2 linked regions of the Nothobranchius furzeri genome follow. The protein of the gene in region 2 interacts with the protein of the main gene of each other region in a pairwise test. Links are inferred from orthologs where the notes say so. Each region holds a gene or a part of one and is shown on either strand. Other genes may lie near its edges.

Region 1 (6,275 bases), on a different chromosome or scaffold from region 2:
ATTTAGATTACACGCAAACAAAATAATGACCATGAAATTTGATTTCTCTGAAAACCTGACAGATCTTAACAGTTAAACAGCGTCTAATTTTCCCTCTGGGATTAATAAAGTATTATTGAATTGAAAATGGCGTATCTGCTTATAAAAGCACATTGAAACTGTTGTTTCTATTCTGCCCCCTAAAGAATCGAAGAGTTCACTCAATACACCAATAAGAACCTGATGGCTGCGTGGAATAAACTAGCTTTAATGTCTGTACCCCCTGAAAAGTGTTGCTTTGGGGCTCTTTGTGTCATTGAATAATGTGTTTAAAGGAAATGTTAAATTTACAGGGATAAAATGCTCAGAATTGTTGCTTTTAAGTTTCACAGTAGCACCTATGCATACACACACACACACACACGTCCACTTCCAAACGACAGTAACCGGATTGGCAAAAATGCTCAAATCTTGAGAAAATCTTTTAAAGAAATATCTTTCATCTGTAGGTTATTACCAGCTGTTGTGGTTTGATACAAGTAACTGCTAAAATCACCAAGAAAATAGGAATTGGTTTTAAAAAATAAAAGGTTAGACCCCACTCTAAAAATGACAATGAATGTCTGTTGGGTAATATTTTCCATCTACAAGGAGTTTGAAATCTGGGGCCCTGACTTAAAGCAGAAATCTGGAGTTTGTTTTGTAAATGGCACCATCTACAGGTGGAAACATGTATTGCACCTTAAAGCCCCTCCCCTTCCGTGATTATAGCAGGAAGCAATGCCTCTCATTTATGAACTTGTACCTCTAGCCAGGCAAACTGATGCTTATATGCATTTATAGAGACTTAAGTGTCCATAAGAAATGTTGCATACTCTGCATCAGTCTAGATGCGTCCACAAACACGCGCACACGCTCTGTGATTGACATCTATACATACGCAGAAGTCCAAAGACTAATTTTTTACATCTCCATCAGTAAGTCTGTGTTTACACGCCCACATATTTACTCAACCTTTATTTATCCAGATGAGTCGATTGAGAAATCCTCGTTTACAATGACGATCTGGCCAAGAGGCAGCAGCAACAGACACATAGTGATAAAGACGTTTCCTTTAATACTTCTCCGTTGGTGTCAGTGTTGTAAAGCAATACTCCGCCAGGACTACAGAGGGCGTAGCACATATCTGGGGTATCCTGCCATCAATATAGTCGTGTCTCTAGTGTGTTTATATATTTCAGAAACTTTTTAACATATTTGCCCTCCACTTCTTCATCCAGTCACCACCTCTAAACTCACTTTTCTTGTAATTTCCCTACACAAATAAAGTTTGCAGCGTTTCTTTGTACTCCTTCAGTCAGAAGTGGTGCTGTTGACGAAGGACGTAAGCGGCATTCTGACCACTCATAGGCTTGCGATCTTCACTGTTTTTGATGGATAGTTAGAAAAGTGGGCTCTACTCCATCCGTCCTTGTTTGCTCGTTGGCTAGCCCTTGTGATGACGGACAATGGCGTTACGTGTCTCTGTACCGACGGAGGAGTATAAATTAAGCTTAACGCTATTGGCTAATGCTGAGTGGTCTCAATTCAAATTGCATGAAGCTCTATGGGAAGGGAAGTAGGCTTAGCAAAAGAAGACGTATCACTTTTACAGATTTCTAAAAAACTACGTAATGCCTGAACACTACGGATTGCTGCTTTAACATTTATCCCGGAACCTAAGGATTTCCACATAAAATTGAATTTAATCAGCGTATATTTAGCAGTTACTTGAAGCATTCAAGCATGGAACATGATGGCTTTTTATGTTTTTAGCCTTTACTTTGAAACTTGACTGTTCAAATCTTGAGTTTAGTCTCAAATTGTCCCGCCCTCTAATCACTTTTAGGATTTAACATGTAGTTGATTATGTACTGTACAGTGGCAGCTCTGATGGGAGGTTACTATGGTACATTAATGTCTTACTTAGGTTGGAAGTACATGTACACACTGTACAAACATGTACATACTGTACAGTTGTACTTTGAATCACATCAATCCCTGATTTGTCTCAAAGCAGAGCGCAGAAGAATTTCTTCTCCCTGAAGGGGTTTTCTGAGGTGGGCACCGGGGTGATCAGGGGGTCGTCGCAGGCGTGTGCGTCGCAGTACGCCATCAGGTCGGCTGCAGCCTTTGATACCTGGAGGAAAAACAATCTGATTTAGAGTTTTTCAGAATGTTTCACTGTGATGTTTTACATCCAGAGATTCTTTCATTTATATCACTGCTTCTTTTGATTTCAGGTTACTTGAGAAAATATCCATTTATTTCTGTCTGAGTTCAATCCATGTTAGTCATGAAAATACCTAGAAGCCCATAGGAGCCCCCAATACTACATATTTAGCTCATGTAGCTCAAACCATGCTGATAAGTTTATACATTATTTATAACAGCCAAACAGCATAGTCATCATTTGTATGTCAGAATGGCTCGGAGGAATGTGAATAAAAATAAATCCATCCATCTAATATCATCCTCTTATCTGGGGTTGGGTCGTGGGGGCAGTAGTCTAAGCAGAGAGGCCCAGAATTCCCTGCCACCTGGGCAAGCTCCTCTGGGGGAATACCAAGGTGTTTCCTGGCCAGCTGAGAGACATAGTCCTGCCAGCATGTCCTGGGTCTTCCTTTAGGTCTCCTCTTGGTTGGATGTGCCCGGAAAACCTCACCAGGGAGGCGTCCAGGAGGCATCCTAACCAGATGCCTGAGCCACCTCAACTGGCTCCTCTCGATGTGGAGGAGCAGCGGGTCTACTCCGAGCAGCGGGTCTACTCCGAGCCCCTCCCAGATAAACAAACGTCTCATTATCTCTAAGGAAGAGCCCAGACACCCTGTAGAGAAAATTCATTTTGGTCGCTTGAATCTGTGATCTTGTTCTTTGGTCACTACACAAAGCTCGGGACCATAGGTGAGGGTAGGAACGATTGATAAATTGAGAGCGAATATGATTAAGAGATGAAACGTGTTGTTTTGAAGTGAAAACTCAGCTAATTTCTACATTTCCCCTCATACTTCTAATTTGTTGCGATAAAGAGATGAAACTTTCAGCAAGGTGTCTTTGACAACATCAGGAGCATCAAAGAGAAGGAAGACCTGCCAGTGGCCCAAGTTTGAAAAGATGAGAATAATCCACCAGACATTTCCCTGTCCTGTTGTCTGAAACTGGACGTACCTTTATCCTGCAGAAACTAGCCTCGATCTTTAGTTGTTCCACCAGCTTCCTGGCTTGGCCCACGCTCATGGTGCTGTTGACTGGGGTGTCTCCTTTCATCCTAGCCACAGGAGCATCAACATTTATGGTTAAACATTGCAGTTGAGTAGGTCCCTTTTGCTCTGTTGCACATCAAAAGGTTGATTTGGTGCATTTGGCAAAGTAGTCGTTTGCTCAGCTAACAATGTAAAATACTTAACTGCTGGTTTGTGTTACTCAATAAGAGTTAATCCTAAAAATGTTTAGATGATTGAGATTTAAACAGCTGGTTGTGAGGTATAGATGCATGCAGTTTCTGGGAATAAAGATGAACATGTGTCATTGAATCGGCACAACAGGATTCTGTCATCTTCAAATGGAACAAAAGGCTGTATGTTTTTTGAAAAGCTAAAAGAAACATAAACTAGGCCAAATGGTTATTTTCTCCAACATGGCCCACTGATTCCCCCCATGATCAGCTAGCACATCCACAGAACAATCAGATGTAAAAGTAGAAACCATTTAGATGGGTGAGGGATGACCTAATGTGAACGATGGAATAAAAAAATACCAAAGACAAAATAAAAAGGGGATTGAGTCAGATGGATTGTCAACAGGGATGGAATAAAGCGAAGAGGCACAGGAGCAAATCTGTTTCACCCATTCTGGACATTTCCTCATTGTCTCCTTCCCTCTCCCTCCATCCCCCTTCCCTCCTTACCCGTATTATATTCCTCTTCAGGTGCTGTCGTCCCCCTTCTTCTCTCGCTCTGGTTCCTGTCCTTTTCCCCTTCTCTCTGTGAGCCTCTGTTAGGTGGTGTCAGTGTAGCCGGACCCCACCCCTCACAGAGAACAGCCTGGATGGTACCCTGCTCTGTACAGTCCAGTGAACTGCAATTCTGCCACAATGAGCACCAGATTTGTGGTGGATGGATGGAATCCCCCCTCAACGGTGAGTGGTGCCTGCCAGACGGAGGGAGGGAGGGGCAGGGATGACATTAGAGATGGTTGTTTTATGTGGGTGGATTGTACCATATCTCTGCTGGAGAAATTGCTGCCAAATTGAATTTCTATCGTTTTAATTTCGGTCTTGAATCAAAATGTTCAATGCTGTTGCGTGGTTTTAATTCTCAGCAATGAACAGATTCACACACAAATCTCAAGAACGAGCCCCATTGGCTATGATGTGATGCTCTGTGATGCCCTCGCTCCCTCTCCTCCGTTGCCATGGGGACTGCTGCAGTCTACTACTCTAGTGTACATCACATTTAAATTTCACAGGTTTATTCATGTATTTAGATGAGTGACTACTACTTAAATAAAATGCTTGAGCCAGTGTGAATATTAGTGCAATGAATGGATAATAAATGGTAGCACGAGTGCGTTTTGTGAGTTTCACGACGCTTTCAGACCAACTGTGGAGGAAAGATGTCCACCGAGACACGTCGCTAACAGTAGCAGCAGAGGGCTGCCAACTCTCACGCAAATGAGCGTGAGACACACGCATTAAACTGTCTCACACGCTCTAAAATCGCACCTCCAATTTCTCAAGCTGAAAAAAGTGAAACTATCTGAGCTACTCTGCATCGTGCCACTGTAAACACGCATATCTACAGCGCTACAAACCCAGTTTTAAATCAACTTTACATGAGTGAGAAGGGGGATTTGGTGCCCTCCAGTGGCGACAAGCTTGAACTTCTTGTTACAAGACGGAGGAGGAGAGGAGACCTGTCAAATTTTGGATTTAAAAACACGGGAGACCAGCGGGGGACATAGAAATGTTTTTAAAAAGGTTATTTTTGATCTAACAATAAATTTATAAACTAGGATAAAAAAAACAACAATAAAAACTCAGTTTTTTTAAATACTATTTTTCTAAATAAACCTTTATTATATTTACTTGAAATCATTCATTTAACTTAATGGTGGCAACAAACTATGTCTCTATGGGATTTTTATGTATCATTTAAGTCAACGTGAAGGAAACAACTCAATATCTGTTTTTTTGAGCGTAAATATGTTTTCGCCCTCTGGCGGACATAACCCGTTACTACAGTGTTCACAAACAAGACATATCTGATTACCATTTCCTGTAAATCCTTTCAAAATAAAACATACCACTTTTAAATTTCTACAGTCTTTAAATTAGCGTCGCATAGTAAGTCTAGATAATGGGAAAGTGTCTCCATAAAATATACATCTTCCCTTCTGTGCTTGCGAGAAAAAAATAGCATTTCCCCATTTTTACTGACATTTTGTTGTTGTTGTTGCAACAGAATACAACAACAACAACAACAATAACAATAATAATAATTTTTGTCAAGGAAAAACCCATAATTTTCTCTATTAAGCATAGCTTTCTTTAAAAAAATTATTTATTACAAAACAGTCTGAATGCTCAGCTACATTATTATTATTTTATTATATAGTATCTTCATAGAAGACCATCGGAATATAAGTCAGATGTGTGTGATGTAGTATAAATATCCAAATTAATTAGCTTTTCCCATACATTTTACTTAATAAGCATTAATTAAGTGTAAGTTAATTAGCTCCATGTCACTTTGGGACCTTCAGAAGTCTGGAGACAACCTGCTTGATTTCTTTTCTGTTCTTCATGGACCCAACATTCTAGCCTGAAACATCAGCAATAACAGCACGGTACACTTAATGGGATATCACCACAGAACATTTAATAAATGAAAATAAAATTCTTGAAAACTGCTCAATACATTATTCCATCAATATTATTATTAATGTTATGTGAATCCATGCACAGCCATTTCAGTCATTTGTGTCACTGGATTAGCTCTAGTGTTGATGCTTTTGCATTATTTATGTAATTATTAATAGATACCCTCAGGGTAAAACATCTTAAACCCATGAGTGTTGGAACTAGGCTAACTCATGCTAAATGTTAACATAACTGTCAAATGACACACCACACCAGGACAGTGACAGCGTCCACTTTGTCTCGCGAATGTCTGATCTTGTTACCAAGAGAACCACTGTGTGGTCCTATGGAAACTTCTGGCATCATGGTTAAGAGAGCCACAGAGAATAACTTCAGG
Region 2 (5,257 bases):
ATAGGGGCCTGGATAATAAATGCTCTGTGTATCCTCTGTCTCTGGATAAAAACGAGAACCTAGCTGCAAAGAAGAAGTCAGTGGCGATGCACACAAACTACCTGTCTGCTTGTAGCTTCACCAACTCAGACATGCAGGTGAGGAGGCACAAAGTTAAAAATCACAGATGAAAGCAGCAGCTGCACATGCCTGACTTGGTTAATAATTCACTCCTGTTTTATTGTCCTGGTCACATGACATTTCACCATTTGGCTTGTAATAAATTAAAAAGCTACAGCCATATTTAGTAAATAGTGAAACTGGGGTGTAAAAATGTTAAAACCCCCTTTTCACCACAGTATGTCTAAATATTTAAACATATATTCACATAAAAATATTGAACATTCATTTTGAATTTAAACTAAATATGCATCATGGTATTCAAATCTAATTTTAAAATGTGATGTGTTTACACAAAATATTTTGAAAAAGCTTAAAAACAGAAGAAGATGACATAAATAAATAAATGTTATAAATAAACAAATAAAAGCTTTTATTTTGGAAGGCTACTTCAGTTCTACATCAGAATCTGAATGTCAGCTAAATGTATGCATTTATAGTGGTATTTAAATATAGCTTCACACAAACTTGAATCTAAATATTTATTATTTTTAATGTCGTTTTTTAAAGCTTCATGTAATAAAGTTTAGAGGTTAATTCTTGAATTTACTTTGATGTCTTTGACAATCACCATGGTCTTGATTCGGAAAAGGGTAGAATGCCTTCTCTGGGTCAGGAATGAGGTCCTGCCCCAAGTGGAGGAGTTTAAGTATCTCAGGGTCTTGTTCACTAGTGAGGGAAAACTGGAGCGTGAGATCGATGGGTGGATTTGTGCTACATCTGCAGTGATGCGGGCGTTGTCCCGGTCTGTCATGGTGAAGAGAGAGCTGAGCCAGAAGGCGAAGCTCTCGATTTACCAGTCGATCTACATTCCTACCCTCACCTATGGTCATGAGCTTTGGGTAGTGACCGAGAGAACGAGTGGCTGGGCTCTCCCTTAGAGATAGGGTGAGAAGCTTGGTCATTCGGGAGGGGCTTGGAGTAGACCCGCTGCTCCTCCATATTGAGAGGAGCCAGTTGAGGTGGCTCGGGCATCTGGTCAGGATGCCTCCTGGAAGCCTTCCTGGTGAGGTCTTCCGGGCACGTCCAACCGGGAGGAGACCTAAAGGTAGACCCAGGACACGGTGGAGGGACTATTAGTCTCAGGGAACGCCTTGGGATTCCCCCGGAGGAGCTGGCCCAAGTGGCTGGGGAGAGGGAAGTCTGGGTCTCTCGACTTAGGCTACTGCCCCCGCGACCCGACTCCGGATAAGCGGATGAAAATGGATGGATGGATGGACTTTGACAATCAGCACCCCATTACTCTCGTAGCACCATCATCTTAAGTAAGCATATACCTTTCCTCTCTTTGTCTGATTGTATTAAAGATCCTGACATCCAGTGGTGATGGAACATGTGCATTATGGGATGTTGAGAGTGGGCAGCTGCTGCAGAGTTTCCATGGACATGCAGCAGACGTACTGTGTCTGGACCTGGCTCCGTCTGAGACAGGAAACACTTTTGTTTCAGGGGTGAGCATGCTCTCTGTGCTGCTTATTTAAATGTTGGACGATTTTCATTGCCGGAGTCGCATTAATCTTTCCTGTTTCTGCAGGGCTGCGATAAGAAGGCTAACGTGTGGGACATGCGTTCAGGACAATGCATTCAGTCCTTTGAAACTCATGAATCAGACATAAACAGCGTGCGGTGAGTCACGGTCCTGATCAGAAAAAACGTGATTGCTATTCTGACTGACTTTGTTTTATAATGTAGCCCAATTTTTTTCTAATAGATACTACCCAAGTGGAGATGCTTTTGCATCTGGATCAGATGATGCCACAGTAAGTTAAACTGTTAAACACCTCAAAGGGACATTTTCAAGTAAACTGAAATCGGTTGTTTTTGTTTCAGTGTCGGCTTTATGACTTGAGGGCAGATAGAGAAGTGGCTATTTATTCCAAAGATAGCATCATATTTGGGGTCTCCAGTGTTGATTTCTCACTCAGTGGTATGATATTATTTCCCTTCAATACTACTTTTGAATATATGATCCTCAATATTATTTAAAGGTGTGGTGTACTTGTTTATTCAATACATTTGCAGTGTTCTCTATTATAAATCAATGCCTTATGAGTCATTTAAATTTAAAAAAAGCTATGCTGCTTCTGTTCTGAGATGCAGAAGTTTACTGGTGCAGAGGTGGGCTGAAAACAGCTGGATTGCTCATTATTATTAATGATATGCCCACACCTCAGTTCTGACTGGCTCACAGAACGTGTTCAGCCGTGTTGAAAAGTCACCATCACCAGGACACTCTCCGCTCTCTCTCCTTGTTGGAAAAAAACAACAACAAAACAAACGAAAGCCCTCCTGTGAGTGGGCGCGAGCCAAGATGGGCGAGGCCATGAGTACAAATCCAGTGTGACATAGATATGTGAGGATTTTCAGATCCTAGCATTTCGCTGTATTTTCTATCAGAAGCTGATGCAGGAGGTAGGTGTGAAGACAGTTTTCATGTTCAGCCTGCATGAAAACTCGGAGTGACCGATTTTATAATCAGAAATAATAAAAAAAAAATTTTCAGGGAACCACACGTTTAAATATTGAGGATCTTGGCTCTTTCTTTGCTTACAATTATTACTTTTTAAAGATCGCTGAAAAGATTTGTGTGTATTTTCATTTTAACAGGACGGCTACTGTTTGGTGGGTACAACGACTACACTATAAACGTCTGGGATGTTCTCAAAGGAACACGGGTCTCTATTCTGTTTGGACATGAGAACCGTGTCAGCACGCTGCGTGTCTCTCCCGATGGTACGGCCTTCTGCACAGGATCCTGGGATCACACTCTTCGGGTATGAGACTTTTTTGTAACCTCTGAGATAACTTTTCAAGTTTCAGTGACTTCTGCAGTGATTGCTGCTTTTTCCTTTTTCAGATCTGGGCTTGAGCGTCGAGCCACAGTGACCTAGATGCTGAAGACACACTGATGTTTCTGTTTGCTAGAAAACAATCACAGAGATGGAAACACTTCTTGGATGTAGATAGAGCATTTCAATAGCTTTGTACATACTCCAGTCTCCTGGACAAGGATAGATTTACATGTCAAAGAGTAATTAAACCAAATGGCACGCTTACATTTCATTAAAACTGAAAGAAAATAGCACAGAAATATAGGTGCAACTTTTATTTTAAAAAAATGAAGAAAATATAAATAGTAGTAACTTGCATTGGTCTAGGCTAGAAGTGATTCAGTAAAGTTATTATTACATTTGTCCACTTGAAAGGAAATTAGCTATTTATTTAATTTACACAAGGTAATAAAAAGAGCAAAAGCATTTAGAGAAGGAAGACTAAATAAGTCTGATTATATCACTGATTGGACCTAGAGGGAGGATAGGATAGCCCCTTCTGTGTGAAGTCAACACCATGAAGTTTTAAAAAAGGCACAGAAAATTATATATTTCAGTTTTAAACCAGTTGAGCTGTGGACTAGAGAAATCTCTGGCCTTAAATACAAAAAAAAATCTGCTAATTTGAACTATTATTCAAAGAAACAGACAAAAATGTCACTATTATCAATGATGGTTCACCTGTCATACTTATACTAAGAAGGTAGATAAAAAGTTTTACATTCATGTTGATTTCTATCTTTAGTTATACAAATTGTTCACTTCCTGTTTACTTTTCTGCTGTATAAGAAACCAAAAAGTCTACGAATTCAGTAACAACTGACCACATTATTTATGCATTTATTTATTTTTGTGGTTCCCCTCTTGTGGTTTTACATTTAGGGAGATTAGGAAAATGTAGTCCCTCCTGTGCAGCTTTGATGGCTGTAAAGTTCACATTCACTGTAATTATTTTACTGTAGTTTAGTGTACAGATATCCAAGGGACTGTTATTCAGAATATTACAAACATAATAAACAGAATTTTGAATATTGCTCTTGTGTCTGTCATTCTTTATCTTTATATTACAGAGATTTTTTTATTATCAGGGAAAAAGTCTTGGAGTGAGATTTTATTTATTTAAATTTTGTGTGTGTAGGTGGGGTGGGGGGCGCTTTAGTTGCGGCAGTCTTTTAAAAATGAAATCACAGATCAACAATCCACAAATATGTAATTTTCAATAAAAGCAAATGATACATTAGTCTGTAGCTAGCTGCTAATTGCTCCTGCTTTAGCTCAGTAATTTGATTATGTTGAACGCAGGTAATTAAAATAGATTGATTGAGTTTTAGTGCTGCTAACACTAATTTGAACTCTGTTTTAGTTTTAAGAAGTATGTTTTCTTTTGAAGGAATCTCCAGGAAGTGCTAATGACTAATGCACTGGGTTATAGTTATGAACTTCTTGTAGAAACAAAGTTCGTCCAGCAGAGAGCAGTAAAATTCTCAATCTCGAAAATCAGGTTGAATTATCGTATTCGCATCTAGTTGACCTAATACGGGAAACATTCGTGTCCCGGTGACCCTGATGGCCGTTTCGTCACTGCACAAAACCATTGGTTTAAAAATTGTTACGTAAGTATAATACGATTTTTTTTAGCTAAATTAAAAGAGAAAAGCCTGTTGGAGCGAGGTTCTGTCGCAAACGCCAAATCGCTGCAGTATTTATTTTATTTTGAAATCCTTTAAATGAATTGCTTTTATTAACTATTGTAACTTTGTGAGTGAAGTTCTTAATCTTCTTTGTTTCCCCCTTCTTCTCCTTAATATATTAAATATATATATAACAAGAGACAAAAATGCATTATATTTTCCAGCTTCATTGCGATAAGAGAAGTAAAATGTTCTCCAATTGGTTTTTTAACAACCAGATTTGTTCTAGCTTTTCGCCGCTGGAGGGCGTCAATTCCCTCTTCTCGCTCATATAAAGTCAATTTATATGTCACATATATGTCGATGATTTAAACCATATATGGATAAAACTGAACTTGTAGCGCAGTAGCCAGAGGAATGTGTAGCTCAAACAGACTAACCTTTTTAGTGTAAGAAATTGGGGGTGTGGCGTGAGAGAGACATGGGTCTTGGGTTGGGGTGACGGGGGTGGCGCTTAAATGGTTCCGCTCCTACCTATCAAACCGTACCATCTCTGTACAGATTGGTGACTGTGCATCCTCCAGTCTTCCACTGCCTTGGGGGGTGCCGCAAGGTTCCGTTCTTGGGCCATTGCTG

Evidence for each region.
Region 1: the proteins of gnb5a (region 2) and gng3 interact in a two-hybrid assay, tested with the Homo sapiens proteins (2 studies listed by BioGRID, with this or other methods). The link is inferred for Nothobranchius furzeri from reciprocal best matches to the Homo sapiens genes GNB5 and GNG3.

Annotation. Positions count from the first base shown.
Region 1 is NC_091750.1:53,593,979-53,600,253, reverse strand, and holds the start of gng3 (guanine nucleotide-binding protein G(I)/G(S)/G(O) subunit gamma-3), read right to left. Parts: upstream 4,104-6,275; 5' UTR 3,926-4,103; intron 3,287-3,925; 5' UTR 3,286-3,286; coding exon 3,187-3,285; intron 2,159-3,186; coding exon 2,030-2,158; 3' UTR 1-2,029. UniProt on the Homo sapiens protein: Guanine nucleotide-binding proteins (G proteins) are involved as a modulator or transducer in various transmembrane signaling systems.
Region 2 is NC_091744.1:64,507,199-64,512,455, forward strand, and holds the end of gnb5a (guanine nucleotide-binding protein subunit beta-5a), read left to right. Parts: intron 1-4; coding exon 5-137; intron 138-1,466; coding exon 1,467-1,610; intron 1,611-1,693; coding exon 1,694-1,785; intron 1,786-1,870; coding exon 1,871-1,919; intron 1,920-1,989; coding exon 1,990-2,086; intron 2,087-2,766; coding exon 2,767-2,933; intron 2,934-3,016; coding exon 3,017-3,028; 3' UTR 3,029-4,024; downstream 4,025-5,257. UniProt on the Homo sapiens protein: Enhances GTPase-activating protein (GAP) activity of regulator of G protein signaling (RGS) proteins, such as RGS7 and RGS9, hence involved in the termination of the signaling initiated by the G protein coupled receptors (GPCRs) by accelerating the GTP hydrolysis on the G-alpha subunits, thereby promoting their inactivation.